Linked DNA regions of Coturnix japonica. The protein of the gene in region 1 purifies or fractionates together with the protein of each later gene. This does not show direct contact. Links are inferred from orthologs where the notes say so. Each region holds a gene or a part of one and is shown in the gene's direction. Other genes may lie near its edges.

Region 1 (12,425 bases):
ACAGCTTGATCCCCAGTAAACACTGGGAATGCAATCGTGTTCTTGAAATTCTTGATTAATCTACTGGATACAAGATTTCAGACAATTCATTCCTGTACAAGTGTTAATTTGATCTCCCCTATATCACACAGCAGGGAAACTTCAGAGAGGCAATTGAGTATAACTAGCTGCAGCCTTCATAAATCAATGCCATAAGAGAAAAGGACAGAGAAAATAAGGAGCTTTTAACCACTCGCTTTGTTCCAGTACTGCAGTTTCCCATGCTCATTTTTGCCCTTCGTACATAACCAATTGCTGTCAACTTTTGGGAGCAGGCAGTGTTTCATCATTCCTGTTACCTGACATCTGAGCAGTGAGCACACATCACCACTATAACTGTTACTGCTGTGACACAGCAAATAATGGCAGCTATGAAAGAGAGCAAAACAGAAAATATTGGAACTTTTGCTGGACGGATGATAATCCAGCTTGGAACAACAGCACTAAGTTTATTTTCAAGACTGTACACTTTCCAATAGAAGATAATATTTCTTTAGAAGCAAGCTAACAGCTGTCAGAGAAAATCTGTTGCAGAATATAAACAGTCCTTTAGCATTCATTAAAAAAAAGTATGCTTTTCTCTCCAAAAACCTAATTGCCCATTCTATACCATATCTAGAGCTGGGATCTACCATGGTGACAACTATTTGTATGGGCATAGCAGATGAAGAAAAAAGAACATGAACGTTTAACACATTTCAGTTAATGAAGAGATATTACAATTAGCTGCATTCCTTTCAGAACTAGCCTCTTCATTTACTTCAGTAAATGGCACGTGCACACATGTACAGAACTGCACAATCAAATCCCTTCCTCAAACTCTGCTTTTTGCTCTTTTACTCTTTCTCTCCCCACCCTCCCTCAAATCTCCCCTCTCATAGGTTAATCCTTCCAGCTGGAAAAGAGCAGAATTGGGTTTATTTTTCTTAAGATAGCTCAGATGCTCAGAGACTGTTTGAATTAGGCCTATATTACAGGAAGCTGGTCAAACAGACATCTGCACACCATGACCAATACCTTTGTAAAATGCAAAAACCATACAAGACAGAAAATGGGAGCAGTGAAGCACTCTCAGTAGGAGTTGGTTCTGCAATTTGGTGTTCCTGGAAATGCTTGTATCAAGGTTTCTGAAACGGAACAGAACGATTTCAACCTTTTGTTTCTGATGTAATTGTTTCGCAAGATCCTTGAGCAGTTCTGCACAGATGTTTCTTATTAAATTCAGAGCAGCATTGTTTACTCATTATTCCGAGACTCCATTTGCTAAACCCTGCTAATAAATTCAGATAGAGGATTTACATCATACAGCTTATGTTGGAGTCAATATTCCTAATTGTTGGTGTTTGTTTCTGTCTTTTAATTCACCAAAGTTAGGTTCAATTCACCTCAGTATGGCACAGTGCTCATTTGGAAACATCTGCCTTAAAGCTGTAGTATTGCACTAGGCCTTTCTAAAGTACATCTCAGATCTGTACCCTCATTTGTAGGCTAAGAGATCATTTTTAAAGGAAAGTAAGGGAAAGCAGAAAGTTGTCTATGTACTGCACTCATGTTATACAACTGTGTAAAACCTCTCCTTTACCTTATGGGATCAAGGGATGTTAAATCACTCTCTCTACCAAAGTCCACTTACACTACAGGGAGTTAAGACTCCAAATCTTGGCCCTCCGACACCTAACATTACTGCTATCTGTCTTACTCCAGAGCTTTGTACACCAATGAAATACACGTATGCTAACCAGATGGTCACATCACAGTTTGTCGGCTTGAGGTTTAAGTCAATGGGGTTCTCCCAGTTATGCCATCTTTAATATCAAGATCTTGATTCAAGGCAGCAGGTTGTATCAGACCAACTTAGAAAACTGGACAATGTCCTGAATAGGAAAAACAGGAAAAAAAAAACAGGTTTCCTCTGCAACTCCTACAGGCCAAATACTTCTTGCACCAGTCACACTGTAGGCTGTCACTGCAGCTTGACTGCTTTCTCAGGCTGCATCCTCATCTCCTGTAGCTGCAGCCACCTCCACCTTGGGCCTGTGCCACATGGTTTTAGCAGCCTTCCAGCCTGAGGTTTCCTAACATCACCAGTGGCTGATTTTTCTGGGAAGAACTAACAGCACATTGCAGCTCACAGATCAGTTATGTCCAGCTTAAATCTACTGCTGCAGCTGTAGAACTTTACAAATTTTAAACTGTTGAATTTACTATGATGCAGAACAAGAGACAGGCCCTTTTAAGATCTTACAATCCACTAACGTCCTTACTAGTTTGTTCTGGGGAAACTAGTCCCTTTACTTTTCATTCACATCCAAGCAAAGACTTTTCTAGTAATTGTTGGGGATGGAGGGAGGGAATCCTTGAAAACTTAAAGCTCTGATGTTGCCATCACATGATGTTATATCAAACAAAATGAAAAACTCTTCTGACTGTGACTCAGAAGCACTCCAAGGAACGCTGTACAAGACTGACTTTATTTATGTTTTCTGCAACTAAGCCATGCTTTAACTGTTTTTTTAAATAATAATAATAAAAGCTATTAAATAAGAATTTGCCAGATCTAGTTTTGGAAGCAGCCCATGTGGTAAATGAGTCATCTCAAAAACTTAGCTTAATTTTGCTTTCCAAATCTATCTTTTAAAAAATAAAAAGGATTTCTCCAATCAGGGCAGACGTAGTCCTAGTTAATATGTTTCCTATTTACTGCAGAATATTAAAAAAATACAAACATTCACAGTTTGCTCTTTTGGGGAGGCACAGTGTATGTCGTCATTACATCAATGAGCACCTTTTGCCTAGAGATAAGAACTCTGTGGCTGCCTCCATGTCAAAGATGCAGAAGGACCTGGAGAAAAGCTTGGCAAGATCTTCTGATCTGAAGTTCAGAACACCCTCCTACGTGAGCCAGGCCTGAAAGATCCAAGTCCTCTCTGTACTGGGACAGGAACTTACTTCAGTAATTGTTCATACCCTTGATCCTGTGGCCAATTGCTGATTTAAGTGGAAAAAGCAAAATGAATCATTTGTGTCACAATATCCCATCATCAGAACCCTTCTCAGCTGCCCTTCTGCCAGGAAAAAAAAAATATTGGCTTTTTATTTATTCCTACTCTAAAAGGTAACGCTTGCTGATAAACACTATCTCTTCCCAGCTGCATATCAGACTAAGCAAAGACATAAACCCTCAAAACCCACACAAAAACACTGAAGCTACAAGAGCTATCTGGTCATCAGAAATGATAGCAACAAAGTTGTAAACAACTTGGTAAGCCTTCCTGCATAATGTTTGGGATTTAGCTTTGGATTTATAGCGGGGGAAGAGGAGAAAGATGTCCTCCTGGTGATCTTAAGGAGGTCAAATCATGCATTCTTCACAATGGCAATTCACACAGCTCGTGGAATCATAGAATGGCTTGTGTTGAAAGGGACCTCGAGGACCATCAAGCTCCAACCCCCCTGCTGCCAACCTTCACATTTAATACCAGACCAGGCTGCCCAGGGCCCCATCCAACCTGGCTCTGGACCCCTCCAGGGACAGGGCATCCATAGTCTCTCTGGGCAGCCTGTTCCAGCACCTTACCATTCTCAGAGTAAAGAACTTCCCCCAGTAGCCAACCTAAATATTCCCTCCTTTAACTTAAAACCATTTCCCCTTTTCCTTCTATTATCTACCCTTGTAAAGAGCTGACTTGCCTCCTGTTTATAGGCTCCCTTTAGGTACTGGAAGGCTGCAATGTGTTCACCTATCAGCATTCTCTTCTTCAGGCTGAATAAGCCCAGCTCCCTCAGCCTGTCTTCAAAGTTTCACTCTGAGGTGCCCTGCTTAAATCTCAATGAGAAACAGTATATGGCAGCTTGGAGGATGTTTAGGTCTCAGTTCAGTGCAAGTCTAGCCAAGCCTGTTGCCCTGAGGCACATGGCACTCACAGGGACAGTCATACCACTAAGGATTCCTGCCTATAGAGTGGCAGAGAAAAGACAGGCAGATTCAAATCTTGTGACTGCTCTGAGCCTTCTGTATTTTCATGCAGTTCAGCTTGGATGCAATTCCAGAAATTTTACTCAAATCCCAAAACAAGTCCCAGGACTTTTGACTTTGTTTAACCTACTCCATCTACATGAGAGACTTGCTGTTCTCACAGATGAGCCATGGGGACCTGTTTGTGTATGTGCACAGTTAACAAACAGTCCCAACAAAATCAGCCTGGGAGCACTGACAAAGCAAAAAGCAGGAGGAACTCCCAGCATTCAGATTTGTTGTCTTGCTTGTCTAGGGAGTGCTTGAGCACAGCTGTGTGGATGCTTGGAAATGAGAAGCAAAACCTAAGGGAAATGCCTTCAGGATATATTATTTAACTAACTCTACCACAAGCTAGAATCTTAAAGTATGAAGCTTAAACAAAAAGCTGTTAGGAAAACTGTCCAAGACTCTGTACAGAGTTGACCATCCTAGCTAACAATTCTGATGAATGTTAATCAGCAAAGCACTAAGGAATGTGAATCATTTATCAGAATGGTTTTTAGAAACATTGTTTGAAGAAGATACATTAAATGTTTTAGGTAATGGAAGGCTACAAAGGATTCATACAATATATGATTCATACAATATAACAATCCTCACCGCATTCCAACAGCTTAGTACAGTTTTCTTCATTCCCACTTTATCTGCAGTTATTCCTTTCTGTTCCTCATTTCCCCACTAGCGAGACTGTAACACATCCATCTCTCTTATCAAAGTATTTTTGGTGTAAAATAGAGGCTTTAAGTGAACACTGCACACAATGTGTACCTAATCAATGTCAAGACCTCAAACATCACCAGGGGCACAATATGATTTCTCATGGATTCAGAGCATTGTGTTTTAATATTTTCCTCTTCTGGTTTCCCAACAGCACTCTTTACAATGGGTGGCAATGGTGATGGACAGCCATGCAAGTTTCCCTTTAAATTTCAAGGCCAGTCCTATGACCAATGTACAACAGAAGGCAGGACAGATGGATACAGATGGTGTGGAACCACTGAAGACTACGATAGAGATAAGAAATATGGATTCTGCCCAGAAACTGGTATGAGGAACACAGTATGAATAACAGTATAATTTGTCATTGCTTTAAGTAACAAAAATATTTCTCACACCTTTACCAAAACCTACAGAAGTCACTAAGCCAGGTACAATTTCAGTATTGGTGGCCAAGGAAGTAACTGAAATGGAGCAATCTGTGTAAGGGATACTGTATGTGGCACACAGTACTACAGCAGATTTATCCAGGATATACAAAAGTCATTGAACCGTAGGACTAAATGTCTACCACTGCATGACAATTATGAGTAGATTACAATTTGCTAATGGTCCTGAAAGAGAAGATTCGGGACAGAATAGAGCATGAGCAAAATTTTAACTCCTGATTCTCAATAAGTAATATTTTAACATTTACATATGGGGAAAAATAAATCCTGTTTAGAACAGTAAGCTTGAACTAATGGATCTTTTTAGCAGATCAGGAGAACCGAGGGAAATGTTTTAAGCAGGAAAATAAATCCCTGCTTTCTCTACAATTTTTTTTTTCTTTTCTTTTTTTTTTTTAAACTTTTTTTTTTTTTTTTAAGCTTTTTTTAGCTTGGCATGTTTTCAATTTTAGGATACAGGCTACAGATACAATTACTGAGACTTAATGAGTAAGTAGTTGCAGTTCTAAAATCTCAGCCTGTTGCCAGAGGTGAAGCTGTGCTCACACACAATGGGCCATAAGCCTCTGTGCACAGCCAGCACAACTGCCAGCTGGGAGCACACAGGTGTACCCTGCTTTGCCAGTCTTGTGAAAATGCCCGACTCATCTGAAATATGGATTTGTATCAGTGTCTGGTTTCCTGATACTTCTGATATCTGGGTGCAACTTTTCAATTTTACCTTAGAAATGATTATAGAAGAAAAAATTAAAATTAAAGAAAGGGTCAAATTCTTTGTATCATCATACATAGTTAAGAAGTTAAAAATCTGAAGCATAGTTCAACAGCAAAAAGAAGCAATAGAATCCACAGCTCAACAAGTAGAAGAACCTGAAGCCAATCTCTTATGAGATTCTGGATCTGTGTATGACATATGTAATTGGAGGCTGTAAATACTAAAGAGTTTCCATTACTGAAACAATGAAATACATGTAAGATTAAGCTTTCCAGCTATTTATTTATATGTTATTACATATTGTCATATACTTCAGGGCTGTGAAATATTTTAGGGGAAATTTTTGCAAGTTTTTGTTTCAGTATTGTAAAAATAAAATAAACCACTCAATTAGAGAAAGTTTAAAACCACGTGCTTTCAAAATGCATCCTGCTGCCAACATAAAGCAATTCTTCAATCTATGAGATATGACGTTTTGACTTCTCCACCAGACTTTTTTTCATTGAAAGCTTATATTTCAGTGAAGACAACAAAGAACCAGGAGATACTCAATGGCCCTTTGACTTTTCTGACACTAAGCCTACTGTGGATCTTCCTTAGATACATTAATACAGGAAACACATTATCAAAATGACAACAAAATATATTTGCTATGCAACCTTCCTCCACAAAACATTGCTACCCATTTCTTTCTCAAAGCTGTACACAGAGGGCCAGCAATTCTTCCCATCAAAAGTAATGACATGTTCATAGCCATGGCAATAGCTAGACCTTTGCCTTCTTTCTGTGCCAGAGGATTTTCTTCCTTAATATTACTTTTAATCTTATTCTTGACATTGTTAAGAGTATTTCAGATTTTTTGCTCACTTTGCCTTTTTAATGTTTAGCTTCAGAAAATATTCATCTGATTAAGCTTACAAATGAGATTCCCTTATTACTGTTTCTCTACTGTTTTTCACAGCCATGTCAACAGTTGGTGGAAATTCAGAAGGAGCTCCTTGTGTATTCCCCTTCATCTTCCTTGGGAATAAATATGACTCCTGTACAAGTGCAGGTCGCAATGATGGCAAGCTGTGGTGTGCTTCTACCAGCAGCTATGATGATGACCGCAAGTGGGGCTTCTGTCCAGATCAAGGTAACACGGTGTCAGAGCACCAACCATGGTAACAACACAGTAGTTTTTCTTCCATGAGCAAATTTCCCATCAAATTTAATACGCACATGTACTATAGAATTTATCACATTACATAGGAATGAGACTTCAGTGCTAATCAAATCAGGAACAAACACTAAGTGTTAAAAATGAATCCATTTGGAACACATATTGCCAGACATGAAAGGAAAAGAAAGGGCACGGGGAGTTAGGAGAGCCCTGCTAAGTTTATATACTGAATACAAGTATTTAAAGTTTAATTAGTTAATAATTGATAAAATTAAATAATGTAAAAGCATTTTAGCTAGATTTGGATTTTTGATTATTTTCCTTTTTACTATATTTTAGAGACTGTTTGGACATAAGTGATAAAAAATGTTCCTACAACAGATTTTTAAAACCTAGTCTTTGGTACAACAGTGCTGGTTCAGGCTTTGTTTAGGGTCAGAGCTATTCAGACCTGTTTAACACTTCAATGATTTGAGATCTAGATGGCAAGTTCAATTCTTCTGTGCTTAAAAAATATCTATGACTTAATTTATTACACTTCCTTGTTTCACGTAAGTATTAAGACTGACTGTGTTCAAAATTATATGTGAGACTACAGCAACATCAGATAGAGGTTTCGCATTCTCTAATGAGATACCATTCTGGATCTGTGTATGACATATGTAATTGGAGGCTGTAAATACTAATTATTTTGCTTAGGATTGGGAAACTTTTGACAAATATCAATGAAATGAAACCGTAACTAACCTGCATGGTGGCTTTTTATTGAGATACAACGCAGATGATACTAACTTGCTGTGTTATCCAGGATACAGTCTCTTCTTGGTTGCTGCCCACGAATTTGGCCATGCTATGGGATTAGAGCACTCTGAGGACCCAGGAGCTCTCATGGCCCCGATCTACACCTACACCAAGAACTTCCGCCTTTCTCAGGATGACATTAAGGGGATCCAGGAGTTATATGGTAAAGTTGTCCCTCATTGGCAGAATTCATCAGAAATGTAAGGAGCACAGGTTGACCTTTGGGACTTTGAACCCGCAGTAGATGTCCTAACACACAATATCACAAATACCAGAAACATCCTGTTCCTTTCCCTAGTTGCTTCATGTTACTGCCAGGGGTTTTACTTTAAAGACACAACTTAAGGATGAGGAGCTATTAAATTTACTGCAAAAACAAGAGCCTCCAACCTCCTCCCCCCCTCCCCCGACAAATGACAAGCAAAGAGTATGTTATGAAACGCACATTTTGATTAGTGTTAGAGACACAAGGACCATACACAAATTGCTCATAATTCATCTTTATAATCTGTAAAATATTAGCACTAGTAAAAAGAAGAAAAGTCCATTCTGATGTCTCAGCTGAGTTGCAGAGAATTCTGAATAGAAGGACTTCAAAGTGCATTTCCCTTCATTCTACAAATCACTATAGTAAAAACTGTAATGTTAACATTCAAACCCAATGTAGTCAACCCTGCATCTTACACTTAAATAGACAGCTAAACACAACAGGCACAGCTAGGTGTGCTATCTCCAATGCTGTCACAGCAGATTCGGGCAGGACTGGAAGCTAAGGCCTTCTCAGCGGGACACAGCCACCCTTCCTTGTAAGACTTCATTAGAATTTTTTACTCTTCAAAACCTTTTTCAAAGATATTCCCTTGTATTAATTATGATTGGTTGTGATCTCCATTATGGATGCAGCACTACATTACAGCATAATAGAACACCCAGAATCCCTCTCTTTGCTCTTACAGATGTATCACCTGATGTGGAACCCGGACCAGGGCCAGGACCTGGGCCAGGACCACGTCCTACCCTTGGACCTGTCACTCCAGAGCTCTGCAAGCATGACATTGTATTTGATGGAGTAGCACAAATTCGAGGAGAAATATTTTTCTTCAAAGACAGGTAAGTGAGATAAATTGTATCCTGATGGGGCCTGAAGTATCAAGCCTGTTCACTGGAGTCTAGGAAATTACAATCAAATACAATCTGTTATTTCTTTTGTATGCCCAGAAATAGCAACATGTCCTAAGCAACTCCTAGGAGAAAAGAAATGGCACCTTCTCTTGTAATGGTTAGGTAACACAGCCTCCTGCACACTGCTGTCAGACCAGTGTTCACCAGGTCCTCACCTCACCAGTAAGTAGTGGTGCTTGGGGCTGTTACACCTTCCAGTGTGCAGGACTTCCCAGCCCACTGTGTAGTTTTACAGTGATTTTTAACTTTTGTCTTCCGTCTGCACTGGGAATGTTCATACCAAGATGTTATGACAGCTGGGCCAATACTAGTTATAACCAAAATCTGAGCAAAATGCAAGTAACCTCAAGAAAGAAATAACTTGTTCTCATGGTATCTTCAGCCCAATCATACAGACTGGAGAGCTAAAATTAACCTTGGTGTCTCTGCAGGCTTCTACAGAGCTGCAATCAGCTCTAAAGTGTCAAGTAGCTGGGAAATGTATCTCAACTTCTACATGTTTACACAAGTATCTGACTCCCCTCCCACATCTTAAGAGATTTACCAGTCCGTAATGTGAATCAAAAAATTAGCAATGGAAGAGATGCATTATGCCATCTATTACCTGCCAAAGAAGGATTCACTCCCTATAAAATATTTCCCAATGTTTCTACAAGGATAGTAATTCAGCACTGGAAATCCCATTACTTTCAGCTGAGTACAGTTCTGGAGGCACTATCCTTCCTTATTTCATTCCACATAATCTGCACTCCAGAGGAAAGATTCAAATCTGACTCTGGGAAAATTTCCAACCTGAACACATCTCAACAGAAGTACTCTATCCAGAACTGGTGACAAAAATCTCCAGTGCCTCCTCTATCACAGAGACAATGTCAAGCAAAACTTGAATGTAGGCATTACAATGGCCTGGTCCAAAGAGGATCTGTTTTTCTCCCATGTGCACAAAGACACAGCTATGGAAATCTCCCAGCAAATCTGTCCTTGAATGGTTTTATCTAGGTTTAGTTCAAAATCATTAAATACTAGTATTATGTGGCACACAGCTGCCATAATTACACATCAAAGACACTGATGATTACAACAGGCCGCATGAGTGCAAAGGCTCCAAAGCAGAAGACACAAGAGGCCTTTTTGGTCCAAAAGAACACATTCCTGATAAAACGAGGCAGCTGCACAGCTGCAGCTTCCACTGCCTTTGCCAGGCCCTGTATTACCCAGCTGCTCAGCAATGAAGAGCATCTCCTAAAGACTATGAGACTTGGCGTCACCATGCTTGAGATACTCTAAAGCTCTATTCTCCCTTCCATAAATCAAAGCCTGGTTTATCCATTCATCCTCAGTTGCTGTGAACATTCTTCCAAAGCAGCTGAAGATCTAGGACCATGTATTTTCAGCGTGTATGCCCAAATCAAACTTCATCTCCTAGCATATGTAAACACACAAGTATCCCAATCTGACATACTGAAACTCATTTTTTCTTTGCTCCTTGACAGATTGTCAACAAACCAAAAATAATCTTTATTGAATGCTTTAAGTTTCAGCAATGCAGAGGCTGTGATTATGTTATTATAACTAGGAACTTCTAATGTTCCCCATTTGGATTACAACTACTACAGGCAAAAAGGATTTGTTCAGTATGTCCAGGAGGCAGAGTGTAATACTGTTCCTCTGCCCCAAAAGGAGCAGGATCAGACCCCTTATAAGCCAATCATCTGTAATAGCTAGAAATAGCCCCTGCTTGGCCAAAAAATGGTCTCACTCTACCAACAGGCCAGCTTCACAGAAAGCCAGCTCTGGACCCTTCCTCCAGAAAACTGCAGAGCTGGCCTCAGCACTTTGGCCTAACAGGTTTGCCAAAAACAGCATTCCCCTCTGCTAGCATAATCAGAGCACTCAAGTATTCACCGCATCTCAGTGCTTTCAAAAAGAAAAACACATTCTCAAAGCAGTAAACATCCTTACAAGTTCCACAGTGTTCACAGCATCCTTACTGTCTTTGGCTCACCTGTGCGTGTTGGCTTTCAGCCACGACCTCCACCTCACTTCTGCTTTTGTGAAGCAGTAACCACACAGGGCTTGATCCAGCAAGGAACCATTTTAAATCAATTTCAAAATCAGCAGAGCAATTCACTGTTCTTTGTAATCTGAACAAAATAGAAGTATTCTGCATTCAGATCCAGTCGGTCAAAGAACTATGCAAATACAAGACAATCTGTTCATCTGCCTCAGTCCTTATCTAACATTCAGCAAAAGCAGACAATTGTTTAATTGTTTCGCTCTGGAACAGATTTGTCTGTCAGTCTTGCAGCTTTCAAAATACCAGGCAAGCAACACTATGATTCACTTTTGGAATTCAAGAAACAAAATGTCTATTTTGTTGTGTGACTTCTATGATTCATGAAAATGATTCCAGCTGTCACATTACATTGCCATAAGGAGCAAGTAGTAAAAAAGGAGGCCAGATCAGGCAAATTCTCTCAAAAAATAATCTTTCCTTTTCCTTCAAATCACATCTGAAACCAAATAAATAAATGGGAATACACAGGGAACCACTGAGCCTTTTACTGGATCAGTATTTTCAAAGCAACCAAAATGTTTGACTATGACCCAGCAATTTGGTCCCTCTATATAACTGCATATACTAGTAATATTACAAATTATAATGGCAAATATTATGCTAAAATATAATGTAAAACACCGAGCATAAAGTTGTATGAAATCTCTCTCTATATAATATTAAAATTTAGCCTGTTTAAACATTTCAACATTTTCAAAGAGAAATGACAAAGCCAAGTATTTCCACCATTTCCTCAATAAGAGGAGTAGTAAAAACACTTCTTACTCAATCAAGAAACAAAAGGAAATACAACTCCGGCAAAGATTCCCTTTCCAAGAGAAAACCTCACCATTTCAACAAGTCCCTCAAAATGTGTGCTTTAATAAAAGCTCCTGTATTCAAGTCTCCATTGGCTCTAAAAAGTTTGGAACTCATGCAAATAGAAATTATTAGTGCTGACTCAGCCATAAATCAGTTCCAAATTTGACTAAGAATCCTATAACCTGCATCTGTAAAGGAGCTACTTTTATGAATGCAGTGTTGGAAAGATTTTGTATATGGATCTCCATTTTATATCATATTAAATCTACTTTGCTGTCTAAAACAAGATAGACAAAATACATATTATCATTATCTTTTACTGTATTTTGAATGCACTTTAAAACTTCCCTAAGAGCAATTAGCTAAACACCTCATTTTTCTCCTCTTTCCTAAACAGAAGATTATGTGATATACTCATATATTTTTGTACACATTAAAAATATATTTGTGCTTGCAAAATGAGA
Region 2 (12,425 bases), on another chromosome or scaffold:
CTTGTACACCTTCTCCTCTGCCAGAGGTGGAGAGGGGTGATACAGGAAAGAAATGATGTTTCACAGTGGCTCATTGAGGCATGAGCATAGAGGGAGGAGCTGAACCTCTGTGGCATCCACATATCCTCAGATCTTTGTCCCTATCATTGCAGGGGGACCCTGGTCCTGCTGGCCTCCCAGGGAAGGATGGTCCCCCAGGCTTGCGAGGCTTCCCTGGAGAGAGAGGTCTGCCTGGCCCCATTGTAAGTATCAGCAATAGGATGCCCAGGCAGTGCAGTACACAGCTCCCCAAATGACTCTTTTTTTCCCATCTTCCAGGGTTCTCCAGGGCTGAAAGGCAACGAAGGTCCCCCAGGCCCCCCTGGTCCTGCAGTGAGTATCCTTGCCCTCCCAGGCACCACCTAACACGTTTACAAGCTTGGCAAGCTAAGTTAGTGGGTTAGTCACAGCTTAGGGCTTCATCCATTATTCCCTTTGCACTAACGAGTGGTTTGCTGGATATTGCTTTATTTTACCAGACACGTGTAATTGCTCAGTTATTTTATGGTGTTAGCTGTGAATATACGTGACAAGCTGGGGGAACAAGGATGATCCAGGACATCCAGTATTTTGCTTCTAAGTCACCAGCTTTCCCTCTGAAAATTGTTCCCACTCAAGAGTCTTGCTCAGTACAGTCCTTCTGGAAGAAAGTAGTCATTGTGGAACCCTCCCTGCTGCATTAACTATGAAGTGGTCATGCACTTGTTCCAAACCTATACTGTGCACCCAGGAACTGAGCTTCCTGCACCAGCCATTCCAGGGATTTCAATTGAAATGGATCTGCAGGACCCCTTGGGCTGATGGTATCAAGCCATCACATGGAAGTCACCCCTTCATATGTTCTCATTTATTGAGTTGTGCATTTGAAGCATTCTACTGCTGGATTTCTTTCTATATGTTGATAGCACTTGATGTTCCAGTAATCTTTTCCTTCCTCTTTCCCCACGCAGGGCTCTCCTGGTGAGCGAGGTCCTGCGGGCTCAGCTGGCCCCATTGGCTTACCAGGACGACCTGGTCCACAGGGACCTCCAGGACCTGCAGGTGAAAAGGGAGCCCCAGTAAGTACCAGTCCACAGATTAATGGATATGGGCCCTGTAGAAATAGAGCTGAGCATGGAGACAGACTGGGCGAGGTGTAAAAAAAGGAGAAGGAAAATAAGAAGATGCTACACGCTCCTGAAGCACGAAGCGTGCTGGTCGTCTGCTGACACCCGTGCAAAGATGCTGTGAGCAGATCTATGCCATATGGTCCTGCCCAGCACCCAGCCCACGTACTGTCACATCTTCTGCTCCCCCAGCACAAGCGTGAGATGCAGCAGGCAGGGCAGTGGGTGGGATGCTGCTCTTGGGTTGATGCTGAGCAGCTCAGAGCAGCTAGTCCAGAGGCAAGCATTTCCCAGTGAATCAGCCTTATGAACATCTGTCCTGCCCAGTATCTATGTGATATGCTCTTGGACAGATGAATAGGCAATTTATGTGGCATCTAATTATTCAGAAGAGAGCACCAAGTCTCAGATGCAATTAAATTATATATGAGGAAACTGAAAAATATCTACTGTTCGACTCCTATAAACAAACATATTTGAGCAAAGGCTCCAGGCTTGAGGAATACAAGTAGATGTTAACTGGGAGGCCAGCAGAGATTGCTTTATTTGCTTCATGTATTTTCCATTGTCCAGAGGTTCAGGAGGGAGCTCAGGGCTATTATTTAGCGATTAGCCATGGACAGGCAGCCCTAGCATCAGTAAGCACTGGCTTGTGGGAATTAAAATTAGTTGGAGACTTGTTTATCATCCAGAGAGAGACGGCAGAGGGTTCAGATTAAATCTAGTTATATTGCCACGGCAGTGAAATTGCAGCTGTGATCTGGGTATTCACCGTTTAGATTTGCTTGGGTTTTATCTCTGAAGATAGAAGTTTTGTCTTGTTCAGAGAGGGAGCACAGAGAGATATCAGCTGGAGGCCAGTCTTGCTACACATGCCCGTACAAGGCAGGGGTCATTAGCAGCTGAATAAAATGCTAATGGCCTTTAATGAGTCAATTGGAGAGTGGATGCATGACCTTCCTATTCCTTCTGCTTCCAGGGTGAGAAGGGTCCTCAAGGACCAGCAGGTCGTGATGGCATCCAGGGACCCGTGGGACTCCCGGGTCCAGCAGGTCCTGTTGGCCCCCCCGGCGAGGATGGAGACAAGGTGGGAACAAACAACCTCCCTGTGTTGTGCAGTGTCACTGGGAAGGAACTGGGTTGTCTACCCCATGGCCACTCTGCTGGCATTGGGTCAAACATGCAGGCTGTTGTGACACAAGGGTGTTTTATGGCACTTGCAGTCCCATGGGACAAGTGGAATTGGGTTTGGGAGAGAATGAGGCTGATTGCTTTGCAAGCACTTCTCAGCTGAAGCTGTTAGCCTCCCCATAGACTGTAGCAGGTGGCCTGCCCTCAGGTGCCTGGCCTTTCCAAATTAATTACCTTTCCCCACACACTCATTAAGACCCTCTGGACTGGAGAGTTCTTAGGAAACGATAGCTGGGATGTATCACTCATCACTGCTAACAAGGTCATGGGATGATGCTTCTGCATCACACAGTGGTTCAGGAAAGCTTAAGGATGCCAAAGGATTTGGTTACACCTGGAGCAGCCAAATCTTTGGCCTCTTTCAGAACTCGCTGGGTTGGTTCTGTGGGGATCAGCATCAGGGCATGGGACTACTGCTGAGTGGGGTGTGAGGTCCCCAGGTGAGCTAACAGTGTTCTTTGCACCTGGCAGGGTGAGATCGGGGAGCCTGGCCAGAAGGGCAGCAAGGGTGACAAAGGGGAGCAGGTGAGTGTGATGGATGTCATCTATGGCTGTTTTTTAGCTGAACGTGTGGTTATGTCTCTGCAACCAGAGAATGGTGCTGTTTTAATTTCTTCCTCTCTTTCCTTTGTCTTCTCCTTTGCTTTGTCAAATACACACACAGCGTAAAAATGAGTGTGTCTGCTGAAGTGTCCTCCTCCAGCTCCCTTGAGAAGCTTCCCTGTCACCTATATGCTATGTAAATATCTCAAGGATCAGCAGCACTTGCCTTTGGAGTTGGGCGTTCAGCTGCAATTGCTTCTTCAAATGCGTATGGCACACTGAAGGTCCCTTTGTGTGCTCAGAGCCTGGGGAATGGAAAATTAATTGCACAAGTTCTCCTGCAAATGTGCTGAAGGATGAGGTCAGGTTAAGCTGGTTTTGGCTTCTTGGCCCTGCAAGTAGGTACCTGCACCTACATGCAGAAGGTGATGCTGGGCTAAGGGTGATCTGTCAGAACCCTGGTGCATCCAGGGGGCTTGACCCCATCCTCCCCCTGCTCTCATTCAAGAGTTTATGCAGATTTAATGGATGCTATGCTCAAGGGCCTCTCATTGTACTGGTGAGGTTTTTCACTCTTTATACCTAAATGTGACTGTGCAATTCTGTTTCCTGACAGGGTCCACCAGGTCCTACAGGCCCACAAGGTCCGATCGGTCAGCCAGGTCCAGCTGTAAGTACTGTTAGCAGGAATTCTTCTTACCCCAAAATCAATGCTGAGAAGCACTGGACAGAACAGCAGTTTCTGCCAGGTGCTGCTGATACCCAGTGCATGCGGATGAGCTGCAGGTGGAGGTGGTGGGGATGGGCTTTTTGCCTGCCATGTGCCCATGCTAAGCTGAATCAGGCTGTTTCCTTATAGGGTGCTGATGGAGAGCCAGGTCCTAGAGGGCAGCAAGGCCTCTTTGGTCAGAAGGGTGATGAAGGACCTCGAGGTTTCCCCGGTCCCCCTGGCCCTGTGGGCTTGCAGGTAAGCTATGGCATCCAGTGGGTCTGGGGTGATGAGGGCTGAGGCTCTGTGGGATGTATTCACAACTACAATTATCCCTTTCTGTCCCCCCACAGGGCTTGCCTGGACCTCCAGGTGAGAAGGGAGAAACAGGTGATGTTGGGCAAATGGTAAGAAGCTTTTCTCCTCCTGTTTTCATCATTAATGTATGCATTTTTCCAAGGAGCTTGTCTGAAATGTTTCCTCTGTCCCTCAGGGTCCACCAGGTCCACCTGGGCCCAGAGGCCCCTCCGGTCCACCAGGAGCAGATGGACCCCAAGGCCCTGCTGGGGGAATAGGAAATCCTGGTGCTGTAGGAGAGAAGGTAAAGCATGTACCCCAACCTGACTGAGGGCTGCAGGTTTGCTCCAACACTTGCTGTGAGTGGGGTGGTGATGGGGTAAATGCATGGCTGTGTTCATGCAGTCTATCAATAAATAGGTGCCATTTGAAGGGAGGAGGCTTCTCCCAGTTTGAAGTGCATGTAGTGATGTCTGGGAGGTACTTATGTTAGTGATCATTTCTCAGCTAAGTAAACAGATTCATGTATACTGTGCATTTTTGTTAATATAAGCCAAGGAGGTGGAAATATACCTGAAAAAGAAAACAGTGATGCTCAATGTCCAATGACTTGCTGAAGCTTGCAGCTCTTGGAGGCCAAAGGGGTTGAGCATGTCAAGGTGTAACTGTAGGCATCCTCTGTTCCTCCCTGTAGGGTGAGCCTGGTGAATCTGGTGAGCCCGGTCTGCCTGGTGAGGTCGGCCTGCCGGTAAGTCTGCTGCTGTGGAGGAGAGCTTTTCTCCACCAAGAAATTGGCTTAAGGGGTTTCAAAGATGCACAGATGTTGCTGGGGCTGTAGGGACTGAACCAGCTGTGTCCTTTGTGGTGGGCATCAGGCAGAGACACTGCCATGTTCTGTGGTGTTCATGGGATAAATTTGGTCACTGAATGCAAGCTGTGCATGACAATGTCAACACCACTGAGTCTTTGTGTTTTAAGATATAGATGGGTTTCTTCAGAATTGATTAGAGGATAATCAGGGATCAGCAATAGTAATAGAAACACCTTTTTTTCTTTCACAGGGTCCAAAAGGTGAAAGAGGTGAAAAGGGTGAAGCAGGTCCCTCTGGTGCTGCTGGTCCACCTGGCCCTAAAGGTCCACCAGGTGATGATGGTCCCAAAGGCAGCCCTGTAAGTACCCTCTCCTGTCAAAAGAGTTCTTCCTCGTCTTGTCTTGTGGAGATTTTCACATGGGAAGTTTTTTTCTCCAGAGATTTTTGCAAAATCTGAAATAATTTACCAACCAGATTATTGCCCATCTAATATTACGCAATGATAAGCCCATTACTTCTGAGTGCTAATGAGGAAAAGACCCAGTTGTACCTTGTCTTCCAGCAGTACTTGAAATGTTAGGCTCTTCTTGCAGGCTACCAGGAAATTCATCCCTATGTAGAAGGTGGTACATCTACTTTGCACTGGAGTTTATACATTGCCAGTGTCCTCTGCACCAATGCAAAGCTTCCAAAATAGCCTAGAGGAGATTTATGTGAATTTGGGAGCCATATCTCCAGGGTCAGATCCCTGCTAATGCAAGTTGTTGTAGCTCTATTGAAGCCAGCAGGGCTGTACTGATTTATACCAGATGACAATGGTACGATATTTGTCTTCCCTGGTCCTTTGATGCTTGTTGGCTGAAGAAATTCATCATGTGATAAGCAAAGATGGTACGAAGCAGCAGAGGAGGCAGGGGAGTTAGTCATCTCCCTTAACAGATGGTTTTTGAGATGCCACATTATTGGTTGAAACCTATTGTCTGAGCGGTGCTCTGAGGATCATTTGAAGTGCACAATAGGATTGTAGGGCGAACTGTGGTGAAGTTATTTTAGTCATCGAATGATCTGAGAGTATCTTCAGGTGAAAAATGTTACACATTAAATGGAAAGGAAAAGCAAAACCTTCTAATCTTCGCGTTGCCCAGAGCTGAGAGGATTCTGCTGTCACTTGTCTAATATATTTATGAAAAGCTCGATGAAATCCCATGTTGATACTGGAGCTTTGTGTAAACTGGCTGCAGAGCTGAACTGGTAACCGTGACGGGTTGAAATTACTGAGCACATAAAGCTGGGATGTGAACTGAGCTTAGGTTTGAGGGTAAGGATTTTGCTCCCCAGGGTGGATGCACACATTGGTCATAGGGTGATGGGTATGAGTGCTCTGCAGGTTTGCAGGTGCAGTCTCTGACCTGGGGATGTCTCTCCTCTCTTTGCAGGGTCCAGTTGGTTTCCCTGGTGATCCTGGTCCTCCTGGAGAACCTGGCCCAGCTGTAAGTGTTTGTCTCACAGAGGGGCAGTCGTGTTCCTCCTCTTGATGTTGTGGAACACGACTGTGTGCTGTTCATTCACCATTAGCTCTTCTGTCATTTACTTTACTTGGGGAACAGGTAGGAAGTCCCACCATAAGAACTTTCTTTTGGGGCAGTAGCAGTGTAAAGCTTAACAACAAGCTGAACAACACCTGCAGCTTCCAATACTTTATTTAGCTCCATTCGTACCCTCAATGTGCCTGTTTTTCTTCTCATGTTTTAGGGTCAAGATGGTCCCCCTGGTGACAAAGGTGACGATGGCGAACCTGGTCAGACAGTGAGTAACCAGATGGATGGGATTTGTGTTCAGTTCCTATGGTTACTGTGTGCGGGTGCAAAGAGTTGAATGCAGAATGATGTACAGCAGCTGATTCCCACCAGCTTCCTCTGAGCAAGTCCTCTGCTCCTTCCCAGTCCTGTCCTCTCTCCTGTCTATGTGAGCCTGGCTGCTGCCATCCACCCAGGCTGCTCAGCAATACATCCAGAAAGCAAACAGTAGCTTCTAGAAAAACAAAATCTAGCCTTTCATTTTAATTTTTCCATGCCTTATGGTATTACATGGTGGGAAGAGATAAAACAGGATACCACCTGCACCCTAGGGAGGTGTCAGGAGTTGTACCGACCACCCACACCCTGGCTTGGAACAAACTCTGTATCTCTGCTTGAGTTTTACACGCTTACTTGTTCCTCCCATGTCTCATGGTGCAGTTATGACTTAATCTCCATTCTCCATCTAGGGGTCCCCAGGTCCTACAGGAGAACCAGGCCCCTCTGGACCCCCAGGAAAAAGGGTAAGCAAGTCATTTAAGAATGATTTTCCACATGTATTGGTATTTTATATATATATATATATATATTTAAAGCTAATTTTAGTACTAGTCTAAAGTAAATGTAAAGCAGTAACATGAACAAAAGAACTGAAGCAGTCTGCCATCCACAGCCATTGGAAATCAATGGGAAGTTTGGAGCTGAATTCTGTTCTTGGTGGTTTTGCTGTTGTTTTCTTAAGATTCTAAGACCCAAAAGGAAACAAAAGTTGCTCCAGCATTTCCTCTCTTGCTGGTAGAGCCCAGGGGCTTGTGCAGCAAGAAGTGAATCCGTAAAGCTTTTCAGAGATTTGCCTCTGTGTTGCCTTCCTTCCTGTGGCCGTGGCATTGCTTAGGTAGCTCCATTACAGCGTTGCATCTAACTGAGTTTTGCATCTATTTTGTGCATTTTCTAGGGCCCTCCTGGTCCAGCTGGTCCTGAAGGAAGGCAAGGAGAGAAAGGAGCCAAGGTGAGAGCTGAATGGGATTTCTTTCTTACCGTGTCTTTCATGTGCCAAACCACTCACCCTCTGACATTGTTATTTGAAAGACAGTGATTTGATCTTTGTTGTGTTACAACAAATTAGCCTGAATCTGGGGCCGCTGGCCTCAAGTCTGAATGTGTGTTTCATCTTTTAATGAACTCCATGGAGATAATCAGAGCTTGGTAAGGTCACGGGAGTGTTTTTCTTGCTTTGAAATGACAGAGTGCCATATTTGGCAATTTAATGTGCTGTAAATGAAATGGCACGCAGAGTCCTACATCATATCCCAGAGCTAACACAGCATTATTGGACCGTGGTTATTTCAGTAGGGGTAATGGGGGAAATGTAAAGCGGGATTGCAAATTACAGATTCAATTGTCATGGCAGCCTCAGGAATGCTGATGGCGGAGGACACGCTCTGCTAGCACATCTCCCAGGACATGAGCAAAGAAAGCTTTGTGCTCTGGAGAGCTTGCAGCAAAGGCTGTTCCTGCTGTAAATCAGCAACTCTGAAAAGTGAAGTTGTTTGGGAGAACGCTTTTCTTCAGCACATCGAGGATAAGGAAGCAGTAAGAAAGTCAGCAGATGGAAAATTTTGTATGCTGTGCAGGGAATTGCATTTACTCTGTGATATCCTGCTGTGTCTCTGAGAAGATGGTTTAATGCCCCAATGCTTATTAAACCATGCTGTCTCTTGCATCCAGGGTGAAGCTGGTTTGGAAGGGCCTCCTGGGAAGACAGGCCCAATTGGTCCCCAGGGTGCTCCAGGGAAGCCTGGCCCTGATGGCCTTCGAGGAATTCCTGGTCCAGTTGTGAGTACTCCCAAATACTCCTCACACCTGAGAAAGCTTTGCAGTGGGGTTGTGTTGCTGTAACCCATCTGCCTTGGAAAATGCTTTTGTTCCCAGCATAAGATGCTGTTGACAAGCAAACAGACAGTTTCCATGCTTAAGTGCCCAAGAGTAGATGAAACATCCTCAGTGGAAATGGCATAATGATGGAAACCATCACCCAGCATGTTTTATCTGAGTGCTGGGTCTACTTGCCCTCTCTCTGGATTAACGTTTCATTGAGCTCAGAAGCCACATTTCCAGTAGAGATATATTTATACTCATTTTGTGCTCATATTTTTGCCTTTATCTGTGAGAAAACATGGCAAATATCCTCTGGCATTGTGACCAGACGAGGGTGGGTTCATAATCATCTGGGAGCACTACTGTTGTGAACAATGAGTTTGAGAGGACTGCACTGTTTTACAGGGTGAACAAGGCCTTCCAGGATCCCCTGGCCCAGATGGCCCCCCAGGCCCATTGGTAAGTCCAAACCATCAAACCTGATGAGTGTTTGAGATGGGAGAAGGCTTTCTCCATGTATTCATTCTCCCCTTTGTTTTCCCTCCTGTCTTCCAAAGGGTCCACCTGGTTTGCCTGGCCTCAAAGGAGACTCTGGTCCTAAAGGAGAAAAGGTAAGTTCCATGCATGACCCCATTGGGTGGCCTGGCATCTGTGTCTGGGTGTGGGGCAGAGGGAAATGCTTGTGATGAATGTTAACATACAAAATGAACAGGTGCTCCATTGCAGCACTTTTCTGTCTGTATTTGTCACATTTCCTGTTGCAAAAAGGCAGTATTTTCACCTTGCTCTGCTACTTCCATGTGTCATGGATAACTATGTGCTCCTATCTCCTTGTTTAGATATTTGGGTTTGTCCCTATAAATGTCTTTCACAGGTAACTTTGGCATTCTGTTAAGTCCAGAGAGAAGATCGTAATTAACATCTGCCATCTTCCCCTAGGGTCATCCAGGTTTAATTGGTCTAATTGGACCTCCGGGTGAGCAGGGAGAAAAGGGCGACCGAGGTCTCCCAGGCCCCCAGGGCTCTGCAGGACCCAAGGGAGAACAGGTAAATGTTCTGTGAGACCTTCATTAATATGCTTTTCAAGTGTGGGGTTTACTGCCCTACAGTAGGTTTAGCATAGCAGAGATGGTCAGTCTCAGCATGACAACGTTGCTAGTTTTTTGAGTCATCTTTTCTATCTGAATGTGGTCTATTCTACGTATGAAATACAGAGATGCTCCAAAATGATCCACTTTAACAGCAATTGGATTCTTGAGAGTCGCATGAGAAGATCTGAGTAGACTTAGAGAGATGCAACACAAGTATGTGTCAGGAGGACTGACATACAGAGCTGTGTGCTTGAACAAGATTCCTCGGTCATAGTCTTGTCTGGATCATGCACACATTTAAAAAGCAATTTAAGCTTCAGATTTGTATGTCCCCCAAAACAAGGTGGTCAGTGATTAATTCCATAGTTGTGGGCCAGCATCGCTGCCTGCAAATCAATATTGTTCTACTCTTATTTTCAGGGTATCACAGGTCCCTCTGGACCAATCGGACCCCCAGGGCCGCCAGGATTACCGGTATGTGACCAGTAAAAGAGTAACCTTTAAACTCTTGGGGGACTGTTCAGCCCTTCTGGGGTCACCTTGGGGCTCCCAGATAACCCAGCACAGCCTTTCTGGAGTGACCTCATGTGATGATGCTAACGGCAATGGGGATTGCCCAGCTGAGCATAATACCAGCACTTGGATGTGTTTTGAGAGTGCTTTTTGTGTGCTGAAATGGACGGGAAAGAATGGGCACAAAAAGGAAGTGAATGTGAAGAGAAAAGAAATGCTGAAACTAGTATAATACAATGTATTCTGTCTCTCTCTAAGGAGAGGCTGACTTCACTGCTAACAAAGATACTAACTCCCTTCTGTATTTTTCTCTATGCAGGGTCCACCTGGTCCCAAAGGTGCTAAAGGATCATCAGTGAGTATAGACATTGTTAAGTGAAGAGGCTGAGGGTCTCTTATTAAGTGCACAGCCTGCTGTGACTCTTCCGTATCAGCAGTGTTGAGGCAATTAGCCAGAGATGGCTGTAGCAAATTCTCAGCTCAGAAATTATAATTGGGGAAGGTTTCTGTTACATGCATTGTACTTCACTGAACATCAGTGTAGCAAAGATCACAAGGAAGAATGCGGTGAATAGTCCTTAGGAGAAAAACTACTACTGTAATGCAGAGGGTCTTAAAAATAGACTGTGAAGCAGGAGGTGGCAAGCTGAAAGAACGAGGAACTCAGTGAGAAATGCAACACTGAACTGAGCTTCGTGTTACAGATCTCATAGAATCGCAGTGATTCTTTATCCTAGATCTAAATCCTATTCAGGCAGTTAAAAATTCCTCTTGGGCAGCTTCCTAAAGTTACAAATGCTTTTTACTGAGTCACTCATGTTTTTCCTTTTTTTCCACCTAGGGTCCAACGGGTCCAAAGGGTGAATCGGGTCTTCCTGGGCCCCCAGGGCCTCCTGTAAGTACAGACCATTACATAAACTTAATGGATGTTGTCATGTAGATTTCTAGAGTCCTCACAATGGAGTGACGTCCATTAGGGATGGCTGGGAAGATTGCAGAAGGTGAAGGGAGGGATTAGTAATGAGAGGAGAACAAGAGAAGAAGGAACCAATGTTGGTGGCTGGGGTTTTCCTCAATGCCACCGTGGGTGACTCAGATGTCTAGTGTGTGTCTTGTGATGCTGCTCTCCATCACCGGTGGCTGCTTTGGCTGTTTCTTCTGTCTCTTCCCCATTTGCACTGAGAAGTTGCATCTTCTTCCCCCATCCATCAGGGTCCTCCTGGAGAAGTCATCCAGCCTCTGCCCATCCAGTCTTCCAAGAGGACCAGGCGAAACATCGATGCCAGTCAGCTGGTGGACGATGGAAATGCTGACAACTACATGGACTACGCAGATGGCATGGAGGAGATTTTCGGCTCACTGAATTCCTTGAAACTGGAAATTGAGCAAATGAAGCATCCATTGGGCACTCAACATAACCCAGCTCGTACCTGCAAGGATCTCCAGCTGTGTCACCCTGATTTCCCAGATGGTGCGTCCTGGGACAGAGGGGGCGCAGGGAAAAACACAGTGGGTTCCCAACTCCAGCTGGTGAATATGGGTCAGTGCAGGAACACAACAATTCTTGGGACTCCCTGGCCCTTGTTGTCCCCTGAGGAATGTGGCTGACCAAAGAGGCAACACATAAAGTGTGGGGATATGTGTTTCAAAACAGCTGTTTGTGAAAGATCCTGCAGTATTATATGGCATCAACCACCATTTTCCTTAAAAATACATATAATAGTAGCCTACAATGGGGATGAAAGAGCCTGAGTAAGATGGTTGTTGAAATGCACTTGAATATCCCTTTACAGTGCTGATTCTTTCTTCCGCTCTCCTCCTGTCCTGCATCCAGGTGAATACTGGGTGGATCCTAACCAAGGATGTTCCAGGGACTCTTTCAAAGTGTACTGTAATTTCACAGCTGGTGGAGAGACTTGCATCTTCCCTGATAAGAAGTCTGAAGGAGTAAGTCTTTCTTTTTCTTTCATATCATGAAGATAAAAGATTGTTTCCTAATATGAGTATTCATATACATGGTGTTGATTGTGTTAATGTGTACTGATCTGCTTCGTTGACCCATACTCTTAATTTTTGTCACTTATCCACGTGCTGTTTTATGGAGCTGCTCTCCCTGCAGCAGAGCTGCTCTGCTGGACCCAGACTGTGATGCTCCTTAAATGCAAATTGTGCTACTCTTGCAGGGTACCATAAGTTTGAGAAAGGCTCAGCCTGCTGTTTTTTTCACAGGGAGGACCTTGAACAGCTATCACAGCAGCATTAAGTGTCGGATGAATGGTTTTATTATAAGCCATAGCAGAGTTTAAGACATATCCCCTTTCCGTCCGTCCTTAACGCAGTAGAAACACGCAAATTTGCTTTATGGTTTGCAGACTGTAAGGAAAGGACAGTCCCAGGACACCTGCAGTAAAGTTTGCCCATTGGTTTTGGAGAGATTTACAGCAGAAGTGA

Evidence for each region.
Region 2: the proteins of MMP2 (region 1) and COL5A1 purify together in Homo sapiens (co-immunoprecipitation; 3 studies listed by BioGRID and IntAct, counting the BioPlex papers as one, with this or other methods). This does not show direct contact. The link is inferred for Coturnix japonica from reciprocal best matches to the Homo sapiens genes MMP2 and COL5A1.

Annotation. Positions count from the first base shown.
Region 1 is NC_029526.1:2,815,492-2,827,916, reverse strand, and holds part of MMP2 (72 kDa type IV collagenase), read left to right. Parts: intron 1-4,928; coding exon 4,929-5,102; intron 5,103-6,899; coding exon 6,900-7,073; intron 7,074-7,908; coding exon 7,909-8,064; intron 8,065-8,857; coding exon 8,858-9,011; intron 9,012-12,425.
Region 2 is NC_029532.1:6,045,390-6,057,814, forward strand, and holds part of COL5A1 (collagen alpha-1(V) chain), read left to right. Parts: intron 1-152; coding exon 153-242; intron 243-318; coding exon 319-372; intron 373-989; coding exon 990-1,097; intron 1,098-2,124; coding exon 2,125-2,232; intron 2,233-2,807; coding exon 2,808-2,861; intron 2,862-3,495; coding exon 3,496-3,549; intron 3,550-3,738; coding exon 3,739-3,846; intron 3,847-3,941; coding exon 3,942-3,995; intron 3,996-4,081; coding exon 4,082-4,189; intron 4,190-4,579; coding exon 4,580-4,633; intron 4,634-4,946; coding exon 4,947-5,054; intron 5,055-6,132; coding exon 6,133-6,186; intron 6,187-6,448; coding exon 6,449-6,502; intron 6,503-6,962; coding exon 6,963-7,016; intron 7,017-7,447; coding exon 7,448-7,501; intron 7,502-8,220; coding exon 8,221-8,328; intron 8,329-8,775; coding exon 8,776-8,829; intron 8,830-8,927; coding exon 8,928-8,981; intron 8,982-9,309; coding exon 9,310-9,417; intron 9,418-9,881; coding exon 9,882-9,935; and 9 more. UniProt on the Homo sapiens protein: Type V collagen is a member of group I collagen (fibrillar forming collagen). It is a minor connective tissue component of nearly ubiquitous distribution. Type V collagen binds to DNA, heparan sulfate, thrombospondin, heparin, and insulin.